Linked DNA regions of Mytilus edulis. The protein of the gene in region 1 interacts with the protein of each later gene in a biochemical or structural test. Links are inferred from orthologs where the notes say so. Each region holds a gene or a part of one and is shown on either strand. Other genes may lie near its edges.

Evidence for each region.
Region 2: the proteins of bromodomain adjacent to zinc finger domain protein 1A-like (region 1) and SWI/SNF-related matrix-associated actin-dependent regulator of chromatin subfamily A member 5-like form a complex in vitro, tested with the Drosophila melanogaster proteins (3 studies listed by BioGRID). The link is inferred for Mytilus edulis from reciprocal best matches to the Drosophila melanogaster genes Acf and Iswi.

What each region holds. Positions count from the first base shown.
Region 1 is NC_092346.1:30,366,843-30,374,536, reverse strand, and holds the start of bromodomain adjacent to zinc finger domain protein 1A-like, read right to left. Parts: upstream 3,096-7,694; 5' UTR 2,613-3,095; coding exon 2,500-2,612; intron 1-2,499.
Region 2 is NC_092351.1:84,269,797-84,277,494, forward strand, and holds the start of SWI/SNF-related matrix-associated actin-dependent regulator of chromatin subfamily A member 5-like, read left to right. Parts: upstream 1-4,618; 5' UTR 4,619-4,739; coding exon 4,740-4,790; intron 4,791-7,208; coding exon 7,209-7,292; intron 7,293-7,698.

The DNA of each region.
Region 1 (7,694 bases):
GCAACACACTGAGTTCCACGGAACGCTTACAAACTTTTAAAGTTTCTTAGTTCATAAATTGTACTGGCGAAAAAAAAATCTTCATCAGATCTTAGGCCAAATCAAATTATATGTGTGGTTCCAGTTACATACTGTTAAAAAATAGGCTCGGTAGGTCTGCAATTTTTTTTATTTTTTGTAATATTTTTTTTTTGAATGTCAAAATCCGGAAAATTTGTGTGTTTACCGAAATTGTTTCTGGTATTATACACACCCCAACCGGAAGTCCACCATTTTTACATGTTTGGTTGTAAAATAAACAGTCATGATACGTTTTTAGTTAATTTTGTTGCATTCTGTTATGAATTCTTGCATTTTAGCCATAACAGATACTTGTGATGGAAATTCAGATGACAGCAGTGATCGGGAAGGACGTGCGCCCTGCGCCTATTGACAAGAAATGGCACATACAGTGACAAATGTAAGCGCCAACGTGGCGCACGATATTTTTCACTACGTTTTGAAACGCTTCGATATCATCAATTGGATTTCCGATCGTGTTCCGTGCCGCCATGCGTGTGTACATAACAGTGTAATGTTCCTCCAATAATAGGAGCACCTATATATTTTTGGGACGTCTCGGGTGTTTCCCTATGATAATAAAACCAGGCAGTTTCATGTATCGGGTATTTTCCTATTGTAAAAATAAGACCATGTGATCTAACTGATAACCCGAAAAAACGTAATTAACCATTATTCATGATATATTTTTTTTATAAACAACTTTAAATTTGTGAAATTTGGCTAGTACAGACGAGATTTAACTCTAAAAATAATCTCATTAAGTTTAGCTTGCTATTATTTCGATTGAAGAACCCCAAAGACTTTTTAGGAATATAGTGTTTGTCTCCATAAAAGACGTTTAACTGTCCTTGTCATTTTATGGTCTTTGGTACGTTTTGACATTTTGTAATCATGACTTCAGCGATTTGTTGTTTTGTGCTATAAATTAATGGTACTCTATACTGTTATTCTTGTCACCGTGATGAAGTTATAATAATACAAGAAATGCAGAGGAAATGCCTGAAATGTCCTCTGAAATAAGTATGGTATCGACGAAGACCCAAATTTAATGTACAAAAAAACAACCATGGACATGAACAAGGCAACAGTACCAGTTTAAACATTGTAAATAAAGGTTAACTTAAATATTGTTCGGGTTTGAAGAAGTTATTGTATATTCATTGAAATTGAAATTACAAAATCACAGGAACAATATCCATGATTTTATTTAAAATCATAAAGGTAAGTAAATGTACCAACATGTACACCTCTTTGCCAAAATATACTGATACTTTTTTTTGTTTACAGAAGTCAATTTAAATGGCCCACTCATTTGACAACAAGGCCCATTATTTTTAAAAATGGCCCATTGAATTTATTTTTGAGGGGCCTTGGGCCTATAGGGAAAAAAACCTTCCAGATCACTGTGACAGAAATCTATGAATTTAATCATTTTAATTCACAATCCTCAAAATTTGATCATTTGAAAATATATTTTTCAGAAATGAAAAAAAAAAGTTCTAGTGTCGAGGGGTTTTAACTAGGGTCGGTCGGGTTACTGGAACCACACATATATTTTTATTTGGCCTTATAAAACTGTTGACAAAAAAGAGTCCAACAAGATTTTTCTTTGAAAATCCATTTTATATAAAAAGTATCTTGTATCTCAGCTTGTAGACAGGCTAATTTTGCAACCAAACAAATTCAAAATGCTTATCTAAAGCATCCAGAGGCTTACCGTAAGCAACCAGATGAATTATTAATCAAACGCACCTTTACATCTTAGCCTTGATGTAAATACCATTTACAAAGTACTATGCAAATACATACTTAGAGCTATTACTAAACCCCTATTCCTGATAGTGATAGAGAGGGGGGCTTCAAAAGTTGTATTCTATTGTTGTATGCAGATATGCTTAGAAAGATTACGAAATGACAGTATCATTTCTAAGAAAAAACTTATGATTCTGTTCTTAAATATAAAACAGCACTTGTCCACCAATAGATGATATCTTTCTGTGGATACAGCGGAGCTGACTACCTTGAAAAGCAGTAATACTAAACGACTTCAACATGGATTGAGTACTTGCATGGGAATACATTTTGTATTCTCAGAATCCTTCACACATGCTTAAGTATATTAAAAGATAGAATTCCAGGTTGATGTAGGTTTGTATATAACAAATATGCATATTTATCAGAATAGATTAACCAAATTAATTGACCCATATACACATTCAGTAGTTCATTCTTGTAGAAGCTAGAGGAAAACACATTTCATAATGATATAAATTACCAAACAAACAAACAAAATATTTTTGAGGAACATATTTCTGTTATTTAGTGTAAATTTATATATAGGAAGGATACAAAATGGCCGACAGAAAACTAAATCACATTTTCATACATTAGATTAATAATGTTCACCGAACATCAGGGCTAAGAAAATAAACTTACTCATAATCTTTGAAGATTTCATTTGTCAGCTTACAATGAAATACATCGTCATCAGGCTGAAGGGAACTTGGTACTGGTTGTCTGTGAAATGGCTGTTTTCGTAATAGCGGCATCTTGAACTGTTGAAATTTTTTGGAGGGAATCACAAAGAAATTTTTGTTGAAACTGTTAAATAAGACACAAAATAGCTTTCTGCATGCTGTGACAGAATCTTCATTCGATGTGTCATAAAATGTCAGCTAAAATTAACACATGTAAACTTTGAAAACTAATTATTATGCTTAAGACTGCTAGGTCTTCGATCTCCGTCTGACAACGAGGTCATTTGATTGTAGCGTGAAACAGCACAATGTGAACTTCGCGCCGACCGAGAGAGGGGGGAGAAAACGATCGTTTTTCTACCACTTTATCTCTTCTTTGATCCGAAAATCTGTTTGACGATGAAAGTTAAGTAATTTATTTAACTAATGGTTGCGATAATATGTCTTTAAACATAACATAAAACAAAAAAACAAGGGTAAAACCGTAGTGTCTTCGAAAATTTCGAAGGAAAAAAGTACAATTTGGGCGGAGTCTATAAATGAAACAAACTATCTGATTGGTCACGAAATGAACGATTGACAAGGTATGTAAATTTCCCATTTGCACACTAAATCGACCTCTAAGACAAGAAATTGTTCAAGGGAAGTAACAACAGATCAATGCATATAAAACTAGAGGCTCCAAGAATCCTGTGTCGCTCACCTGATATTTTCATATGGGAGTCTAAAATATAAATGATAGAATTTGTTTATTTTTTTTACCAAAACGTAATATATATTGATATATGTTTAAAAAAAAAAAGATAGGCCACCGTGCATTTCTCAAGCTTCAGGTTGTGACAAAATGGCATATTTTGTATGGATTATAAAGGAAAATAAGTTGAAACTAAACTAAATGATAGAATTGTAATATAAATTTCGAAAAGATACTTTAATACAAGTCTTTGAGAATATCAAAAGAAAAGGTATAGGGTCACCGTACGTTTTTTTCGGCTAAAATACTACATATGAAAATTCCATGTATATATAGATTCCTTCAGAAAATGCATTGTTTCAGAGCTACATATCCCCTTAAATGCTAATTTAAAAATAAATTAAAAATCAACCAAAATAACATACACTTGTAAAAATATTAATTTTCATAAAATATATTCTTATTGATTTGTTCTTTTGAATGAAAATTCACATTAGTTATCGGCATTCCTGCATCAAATTTTTCTATTTTGATTGAAAATCTGGACCTTAGAATCTGTTTTTTTCACAAAACCAAGATGTAGAAAGACACCCATAACACCTTTATAACAGAAGCAAATTGGTAATTGGCAAATGGACTATTGATGCATGAAATAATGCAACCGATATACTTTTGCTTTACTAGTTTTAGAGATATCGAAGTCAAAAACTTTATTCTCCTTATGTTATATTTTTAGCCATGTCTACCATGTTGTTTGGCAAGCAGGTTTTATTGGTCACATTCTTTAAGATAGATACCCTAATGCTTATTGTGGCCAAGTTTGGGATAAAAAATTGTCTCAGTTGTTTCAGGAGAAGAAAAATTGTTAAATTTGACCTTAAAGGACAGAACTCCTTATGGGACCAATTGACCATTTTGGTCATGCTGACTTATTTGTAGATCTTACTTTGCTGAACATTATTGAATGAATTGCTGTTTACAGCTTATCTCTATCTATAATAATATTCAAGATAATTACCAGATACTTCAATTTTTCACACAGTCCTTAAAATTACCAAGGGTATCAATCCAACAACAGCTAGTCTGATTCGTCTGAAATTTTACGACAGATAGGTTCTAACCTGATACACAATTTTATACCATGTCAGATTTGCTCTAAATGCTTTGGATTCAGAGATATAGACCAAAATCTACCGTTACCCATACGTTCTATTCTTAGCCACGGCGACCATCTTCATATATACCATGCATGTATACTCCAATGCAGATTGTGACCAAGTTTGGTTAAATTTGGCCCCAGTAGTTTCAAAGGAGAATATTTTTGTAAAAATTTATGGACGACGGACGACAGACGCCAAGTGATGATAAGAGCTCACTTGGACCATTGGGCCATGGCCAGGTGAGCTCAAAAGGGGGAGAGGAATATTTTGAGAAAATTCTTCGAGGTAAAATACAGTTTATGAATTATATTACCCTTTAAATAAACTCATTATAGATACCAGGATTGAAATTTTGTATTTGCCTCAGACGGACGTTTCGTCTACAAAAGACTCTTCAGTGACGTTCGAATCAAACAAATTAAAAAGCCCAAAATAAAGTACGAAGAAACAATTATGTCAGATATCCAAGTAAGATCGATTTTTCCTGAAGCATCATTTATGTTATATATCGGTTCTAGTGAGATCGATTTCCCCTGAAAGACCAGTTATGTCAGATGTCCTATAAATTTGATCGATTTCCCCAAAGCCCCAATATGTCAGAATTCCCAATGAGAACTATTTTTTCCCCGCAGAACCATTTATATGGCAGATATCCTATTAAGATCGATTTCTCTGAAGCACCAGTTATGTCATACATTTCATTGAGATATATTTCCCTGAAGCACTATTTATGTCACATATCCTATTGAGATCGATTTCCCTGATGCACCACCTATGTCTTATATCCTAGTGAGATCTATTTCCCTAGAGCACCAGATATGTCAAATTGATATCGATTTCACTGAAGCACCATTTACGTCAGGTATCCTGAGATCGATTTCCCTGATACACCACCTGTGTCATACATTTTATTGAGATACATTTCCCTGAAGCACTATTTATGTCACATATCCTGAGATCGATTTCCCTGATGCACCACCTATGTCATACATTTTATTGAGATACATTTCCGTGAAGCACTATTTATGTCACATATCCTATTGAGATCGATTTCCCTGATGCACCACCTATGTCAGATATCCTAGTGAGACTATTTCCCTAAAGCACCAGTTATGTCAAACATAAAATTGATATGGATTTCACTGAAGCACCATGCATGTATGTCAGATATCCTATTGAGATCGATTTCTCTGAAACACCAATCATGTCAGGGGCGGATGCAGGAATTTTCGAAAGGGGGGTGCTAACCCAGGGCAAAGGGGGGTGCAAAACATATGTCCCGATACAAATGCATTGATCGGCAAAAATAAAGGGGGGTGCGCACCCCCGGAACCCCCCCCCCCCCCCTTGGATCCGCCACTGCATGTCAGAATCCTAATGATAACTATTTCCACGAAGAACCAGTTATGTCAGATATCCTATTGAGATCGATTTCTCTGAAGCACCATTTAGAATCATTTTCATAACAGCATGGACAACCGCAATACTATGTAGGTAGTTATACTGAATCATTAACCCAGTTTAACTTGTTTATCATAGGCTAACGATAACAGTGATTTTACGACCACTGCCAGAGGACTTCCAATGACGATTTAAATAGAATAAAAGAGTAAGGTACATGCAGGTGCACGAGAAGAAAAAAAAAGTTTAAGTACCCAACATTTAAATCAACACACAAGGTCTTGTTCTATGCTAGTTTTTCGTTTGATTTGATTTAGGCGTTTAGAATTATTGGCGACCCCTTCCCCCCAGTTTAAATGGCTGACAAGTAGGTGTTACAGACGAACGTCTACCTAATCTGACCCAATAAATTTAAAACCTGAGCGCGCAAAGAAAATACTGAAATTGTCTTATGAATTTTACGCTGTTATCAAAATGATTCTTTATCAGATATCTTTGTGGCATCGATTTCCCTGAAGAATCAGTTATGCCATACATCCTACTGAGATATATTTTCCTGGGAAAAAAACCCATTTATGTCAGATACTCGATCATGATCGATTGCCCTGAAACATCATTTATGTCAGATATCCCAGGGAGATTGATTTCTCTAAAGCACCAGTTATGTCAAACATAAAATTGATATGGATTTCACTGAATCACCATCTACGTCAGATATCCCTTTGAGATCGATTTCTCTAAAATATCAATTATATCAGATGTCATTGTGAGATGTGTCCTTTTCAAAGCATCGTTTATGCCATACATCCCAGTGAGATCGACTTCTCTGAAACAAAGATTATATCAGATATCCTTGTGGGATCATTTATGTCATATTTCCTAATGAGATCGATTTTCCTGAATCACCAATCATGTCAGATATCCTAGTGAGATCAATTGCAACTACCTTGATGCACCATTTATGTCTTATATCCTAGTGAGATATATTTCCCCGAATCACCAGTTATGTCAAATATAGTATTGAGATCGATTTACCTGCCAATCATGTCAGATATCCTATTGAGCTCGATTTCTCTGAAACACAAATTATATCAGATATCCTTGTGAGATCATTTCCTTCAAGCATCATTTATGTAAGATTTCCTTTTGAGATTGATTTTACTGAAGCACCAATCATGACAGATATCAAAGTGAGATCGATTACCTTGATGCACCATTTATGTTAGATATCCCAGTGAGATATATTTCCCTGAATCACCAGTAACGTCAAATATAGTATTGCGATCCATTCCCCTTATGCACCAATCATGTCAGATATCCTATTGAACTCGATTTCTCTGAAACATAGATTATGTCAGTTATCAGTTATGTCAGATATCGAACTATTCGTGAGAAGAAAGAAAAAAATATGTCAGATATCCTAATGAGATCGTTTCCCTGAAGCACCAGACATATTTCATATATCCGATCAAGATTGATTGCACTAAAGCACCACTTATGTCAGATGTCCTATCGATATTAATTTCCCTTAAACATCAGTTATGTCAGATATCATATTGAAGTATATTTCCCTGAAGCACCTGTTACATCAGATTTCCTATTGAGATATATTTCCCTGAGGCACTAGTTATGTCAGATATTCCTATTGTGATCGATTTCACTATAAAGCACCAGTTATGTCAGATATCCTGTCGAGATCGATTCAAGTTCATCGAAGCTTTATGTCAGAATTCCTAATCGGAACTATATATTTCCCAGAAGAACCAGTTAAGTCAGATATCCTATTGAGATCGATTTTTCTGAACTTCAGAAGCACTATTTATGTCAAATTACCAATTAATCCTTCAATTACGAACATTCAAACTTTGTTCATCTTAAAGTGAGAACATGAAGGATTCG
Region 2 (7,698 bases), on another chromosome or scaffold:
CGTAAGGTGACTTATACTAGTAGCTATTAATTCCTGTGTCATTTGCAATCATACCACATCTTCTTATTCATACTGTAGATAGGTTCTTTTATCATACCGGGAATTTAAGATTGGACCTAATTTCTAACGGTTATTCGGGATTAACACGTTGGGATTTTAATCTAAAAATAATTGAGAGTTAGTAAAAACCTAGTTTTTATAAATTCAGTAAGAAACGCGAAGAGAATAGCACATTCTCCCTACACGAGGTGTCTGATTTAATATCTTCACGTATTTATGTTATTGACACGAATGATAATTCCAGTAAAAATAATGGACACATTTTGGGGATTGGACACGTTTGAGTGGGTTTTTTTTTAATGGACACGTTTCTAAAGGCGTTTATACAAATGACACGCTTTGGCGCTGTTACAACTAGACATGTTTTGCAGTTCAGTGACGTCGATGTGGACACGTTTTGGGGAATCGGACACGTTTGGGGGGAAGGACATGTTTCTGAGTGTTACATATATATCGCTGATATAAACTTCAATTTGAAAAAAAATTTCAATTTTCAAAATGCCGACACCTACAAATAGATAGATGGGCGCTTAATGTAGTACAGTGGCAACTATTACATACATATGAATGCTGAAAATAATGTTTAGTGTATAGGTTTATATATGATATGAATGGTTTCAACTTTTACAAAACCAGAGCTATAAGTTTGATATAAACGGTTAATTTGTTTGGCCTTTTTAATTTTATTTGACTTTATTTGCCTTTTTAACTAGATTTGAATCGAGCGTCACTGATAAGTCTTTTGTAGACGAAACGCGCGTCTGGCGCAAAAACCGACAAAATTTATATCCTAGTATCCATCTATGATGAGTTTATGTAGATACCTTGTAACAATATCTTGGCTCCAGTCTACTAATATTTGGTCGTAGTACTCTTAATTTCAGCGTAAATAAGATATATATATATATATTTTATAACAACATTTTCGTTTAATAACACCTTATATCAGTACCGTTGTGCAAATCTTTAGACTGATTTAATTTTTTCCTTATCTGCATAGTATCGCCTATTCTAGACGATCCGGTACATAGTAAATTTGCTGGTTGGTCCTTTTTATAGACTTTTATATATATATATATATATATATATATATATATATATATATATATCAGTCTAAAGATTTGCACAACGGTACTGATATAAGATGTTATAATACGAAAATGTTGTTATTAAATCGTGCTGACAAATATTTCGGCTCAACAAATGGCCTTCTTCAAGTGTCACAAGTTTTAACAATACTGATACATGATGTATAAGGTGTAAAAATAGATCAGTAATAATACAGGTAAGTTTTGGTCGATTGATTTTTAATCCAAAAGCCTGAATATCATAATATAAACAAAACACTATAAATCAATATACGTGACTGTGTATATTAACAATAAAAATGAGTGAAAAAACAAAAACGCTAGTATTTCTTATTGATGCCGTTTGGATGATGTACATAAAGTTCCTTTATCCAAAAGCTTTCCCTAACCTGTCGCTGGGCATCACTCCAGTGAATATTCTGTTCAATCACTAGAATTTTCATGCGGTTAAAGTCATCAGGTTTGTGACCCGACTGTCTGAAGTGCTGAGAAACTGGGAGAAGTGGCTTCTTAGAGATATCACTCCTATGGCCATTGAGGCGTTTGTGGAAAGGCTGCTTTGACTCACCAACATATTGGAGGCCACAAACCGAACATTCTAGTATGTAAACAACATTCATACTTTTGCAGGTAACATTATATATATATAAAAAAAATAATAATAAAAAAGGCACATCAGCGAAGCTTCATATTTCAGAAGTATTGTATTTATATATATATATGTCATATTTCCATTGCCCTTGTCCACATTTTAGTAGTTCCGCGATTTGCTAACAAAAATTGAATAGCTGTAAATTTTATCAATTGAATTTCACACTGTTAATGGTTGTTAACTATGATCAATGTGAACATTTCGAGTTCTAGTCCTTATCAGGGGCGGATCCAGCCATTTTAAAAAGGGGGGTTCCTAACCCAGGACAAAGGGGGGGGGGGTTCCAACCCCCGGAACCCCCCCCTCTGGATCCGCGCCTGCTTATCTCTAATACCATAAGCAATACCGGTCAACTTTATTTGCTCGAATTGCATTTGTGCACATGACTTTTTTTATAACTTTATTTTCTTGGTTAATTGGTGAAGGTTGAGGGTGGTTTTTTTTGTATTAATGATTGAAATGTGTCAAAGTCCGTCAGGCAGATTTCATCTGACCTTAACTTTTATTTATGGTTTATTATTTAACAAAGTTAAGTTTTTATAGCACCGCAGGTAAATTATCACGTTGTGATTTGTTTAACGCCGTAACGTGGTGGCCCCCTATGAGACCGTAAGGGGTTCGTGACGCGTTAATTGTGACGTCATCTATTAATGTTGTTGTGTTTCATAGTTTATTTTTCAACAAAACGCAGCAGTAAAAGTCTAGCGTGCGATAAATTCGTTATACGGTTAACTACTGACCTCCTACGGATCCATAGAGTGTGTATAAAGTCCATGGGGGACTCGGCCTCCTAACCCCCTATGGATTTTAATTTTACTAACCCTCTATGGATCCGTAGGTGGTCAGTAGCGAACCATATTTAACTTATAATGTGACACTTTTGTTTAAGTCAAACTTTTATCTTGAAAATAAAATCAATTACGATCATAAGCAGGCGCGATAATTTACATTTTAGTGCGTGCATTATTGTATGAATAACACGTAGTGTCTATTTATGTTGAAAAACGAAGGGTGACATTTTTTCCGCATGTTTGATTTGTTTCCCGCTCGTTTGTGAAACTTAATTGTGAATTGTTAGACAAAATTATGAAATTTAAGAACAATGAAATTTTGTTTGGAATTCTTTGTTGGTTTTAGCCAACCTAACCCAAAATGAAAGGTGAGCTTTTCTCATTACATCGTTCGTCGTCTTCCATTAATTTTTACAATAATCTTCTCCTCTGAAATTACTTGGCTACATTTAACAAAACTTGTCCACAAACTTTTGTCGGTTTAAAAGGTCGAAAGAGCTTATTCTTTCCTGTTTTGTATGCTTTTTAACGACTTTAAATACATTTCCTTTTATTTGATTTGACAATCATCATTGGGATATAAATCAAGTTTTTAAATCATGTTTCGGTTATCCCGCTTACAAGTATGTTTATTTTGGCCGACATGCAACATCGGGGGATTAGGGAGTTTTGTCTGGTTTTTTTTAAAACCGCAATAGATAAAGAAATCGTTGCTTTTCATAATTCATTTGTGGTTTCCAAAAAAAAAAAACACCGGGTCTTATACAAATACAAAACCGGGTCGTTGTGTAGTAAACAACTCTGATAACTCCGGGTCTTTCTATTTGTCATTTATGTCCATGCACAGAAATACAAGTAGTGAGGTTTTCAAAGTGGCTATAGTCTTGCAATCTCCATGTAAATATCTTCCGTCCCGTACCTTTCTTTACAATGAGTATAAATGAGGGGGGATAGGACCTTTATCGGGACTCCGGGATCGGGTGTTTTTAAGCTCGGGATTTCGGGATTGACCCATTCGGGATCCGGGAATTCTTTTTTTCGGATTTCGGGACGTCGGGATTAACTTTATTTAAATTCGGAATTTTGGGATTTCATGTTTTTAAGCTCGGGATTTCGGGATCAGGACCCCTCCTATCCCCCCTCATAAATTAACAGGAAATTAAAGGCAAGGTTCACTATAAATGTATCATCTTAATTTGCAATTTCTACATTAATCTATAAAGATTACAGAAAATATAGCACCTCAAAATCGAAAATTGTATGTATTTATACTCTTGGATATCATAAACAAATAGTGCACAAATACCTACTTTTTCCGTCTGCCTGTTGATGTTCCATCACAGTTCCGAACATCAGATATCATTGAGTTCACACTTTTTACCGGGATAGTTTAGACACAGTGTACATGTGCTGAGTTTTAACTAACAAAGTCACACAAAATAATTCTCTGAAATTGTAATTTTGGCAAAAAAATATACAAAAAAACGTCAGAAAACTATTCTCGGATATAAAGAAAACAAAACGGAAAAAATAATATTAGATGGCAGTTTTATTATTAAATGGCGAAATAACTTTAAATAGGTGCCTATTTGACAAGGTGCATTAGCAATATAGAATATAGGTACCGAATACACCTTATCGCTAATCCCGGCTGACCCGGCCGATTGAACTTTTGACGCATACAACAATCACTTTTCCATTGTGGCGTCAGGTATTTTGTTTTGTGACGTCAAAAATTTACGGGAACCTGTGTGATATCTAGTTATGGCGGACAAATAGCGATAAGGTGTATTGACCAGGTCACGTATTCCTCGATGGGTACTCCAAATAAAGGAGGGATCTACGTACATACATAAATTAGACTAATGTCTGTCTAAATTGTAAAGTTATTTATCCAACCGAGTCTATTAAAGTTGTGAATAACTAAATTTTAAGGTATGCGAAGCAAAAAATAAACCAAAAAACAAATGTTCAATTCTGGGTCTAATTCTAAGGTCAGAGTAAAGGGATATATTTTAGCATTTTCCATAACAATTGCGCAAGCGTGAATTTAACTTCCGGCAAAGCGCAAATTTTGCCGGTGATTCGAAACGACAAAGAAAACAGCATATATTTTAGCAATTAGTCTGAGTATAGACCAAACAAACCATGTCTGACTCAGAGGCTGAAAGTACCAACGATGAACCAATGGAACTAGCTGTAATTAGCCTTATAGAAATTGTGGAAAACGTTTAACAACAAACTGATATATAAAAATTTGCATTTTTGCGGGAAATTGTCGTAAAACTGTTATTGAAATATTACCAAACAATTAATTTTCTTAAGCCCTAACTGTTTTACTCGTACATCATGACATACTTTGTGGTTTAGGGTTCATGAAAACAAATGTACAAAAAATGGCTGTGTCACTGTCTGTGTTTACAAAACTTTACAAATCTCAAACTACTGAGTGTATAGTACGGTATCAGGTCCGTTCGCGCCCAATATACTTTCGCACCCTACACGTTCGCACCTCGCACGTTCGCACCCAAGGTCCGTTCGCACTCTACACGTTCGCGCCCAATTTTAATTCAAATTCGAGTTGAATAATTGGAAAATCATGATTGTTGTTTTTAATTGCTTTCGTGTAAATACTGAATGTATTTATAGCTTGGTATGAGTAAAAGATTGAAGATTTTAAATGAAAAACACAAAAGATAATTGTTTTTAACAGCTTGGTCCCTTTGATCTGAAATAATGAAACAATACACTATTATATATTACTATACATGATAAAATTTAATCAACACACAAAAAAAAAAGGAAACGTAGTCAGAATCTCACTTCATTTTGAAACAAGTCAATGAAACAAAAGTTATAGCAATACACTAACCAAAACATGATAAACAGTTATTCAACACAAAATAAAACGTTGACAGAATCCCACTTTATTTAGAAAGGAATATATTTTTTTTTAACAATACACTATCCAAAACATGATTAAGATTTATTCAACACAAAAAAAAATGCTGTCTCACTTTATTTTGAGACCATGAAAACAATTATACTTATAAGAATACTACTTGCCAAAACTTGATTACAAAGTTATTAAACACAAAACCAATTAAAACTGGGCGCGAACATGTAGGGTGCGAAAATGAAAGGGGGCGAACATGAGTGGGTGCGAACGTGAATGGGCGCGAACGGACCCGGATTCGTATAGTACCAGGATTTATCACAAACTGATGTGTATAACCTTGTTCTCAGTACCATATTGCATTTCTGAGAACTCAGAAAAGCATTGTACCCCTGTGATGCCAAAAAAAATATATCTGTTTAAGGTTACATCATCAAAATAAATAGGGTAGGTAGGTCGGTATGTCCATTTTATTTTTTTTCCTGCAGTCTGCCTTGCCATGGGCCGAAGTTACCCGTATTTTTAATGATTGGATTATTTCCCTTTGTTATTGATTGGGAAAAAATGACGGCAAAATGTTTATTAATCACACGAGTCGCAAATTTCCTTAAAACAGCTATCATATTCATGATTATGAACATTGGGATGCATCAGGCAACACTATCTTCACTTTTAACACGAGTTCAGTTTATTTTTCACTTCACAACTGAAATAAAATGGCTTAGGGTGGGCGCTCAAAATAGGGTCGGTCTGGTAACCATAAACAAGAAACATATAATAATTTATTTTTTTTGGCCTGAGTAAATTTAAATATAGAATGCAGGACGCAACTTCCATGGGATGAAACGTGTACCTTGAAAAGATGTAATGGCATACTTGTGAAAATGCATCGTCCATGTACTTTTTTTTTTAAATACATTTTATTAAATCAATTACATAATATATATATGTACATCAAATGGATGTTTAATATCTTGTATAAACAAACTGAACAAATAAAACAAATAAGAACATTGAAGAATCAATATTCAAATGGATGATTAATTTCTATCATCTTCAAAACAATAAGTTAAGTTTGAAATATAAAACAAAGTAATTAAATACATGTAATGATTAAAAAAAAAGTGTTACATCTTGCAAATGAAAATAGATATGTATTTTTACAATTCTTACTTGCAGGCAAAGGAATATGACTCGAATATTACAAGTTTAAATTATGCATGGTTGCAATGCCTAATAATCACAAGAGACAATGATTAATCAAATTTTGATTGGCTAATAAACATGATTAAATCCCATACTTTCTACATAAAAGCTTGGCTATAACATGTCATATGTTGATTGTTGACAGTCATGTGCTTTTTTGACTGGAAAATAGGGGATTCTGACAAACACCTGCAATAGGAGTTTTATTAAAATCTATATGATCAACATGATGAATAATAACTTTTTGGGATAAAAATGATAAAAGTGAAGCAAGTATCAATAAGAATTAATGACTAAGATAATAACGTACAATGTATACCTTGCTAATAAGAATAGAAATCCTTACCTACTGACCCTACTTTTAAAATTACATATGCCTTTACTATCAATATCATAAAAAGTGATTGATTGGTGTTTAATTCCACTCTCAGTACAATTGTGTTTCTGTATTTTGTGTGGTCAGATGTTTTGAAGCCTGTACAATTAAACACAATCTATTTAATTTTCTATTTCAGCCAACCATTGAACCAACAGTTCTACTTAAGTCTCCACCTAAAGTGAGGAATCCTCAGGAAAATGCACAATTTGAAGCTAAAATTGTAAGTATTGCCTAAAATGTTATGCTCCTGATGCAGATCTAGAGGAGCAAACATTATTATATAAAAAAGAAGATGTGGTATGATTGCCAATGACACAACTGTCCATAAGAGACCAAAATCACACAGAAATTAACAACTAAAGGCATACCTGTCAACCTGTGACGATGAAAATGCAGGTCATGACCTGCTTTGAAGAATCAAATCTCAGGTCATAACGCGTACAAACTTTTTCTAGCTGAATTTCAGTATTTATGGTACATTTTCTTATAATGTATATCAAAGATACCAAAACATCAATGCATGTTCACTTGGTTAAGTCATTTTAAATCTTATTTATTATTATTTCATTACACTTTTAATGATTTTTATAAACTTGTGTATCACAGTCTTATGTCCTTTACTTTTT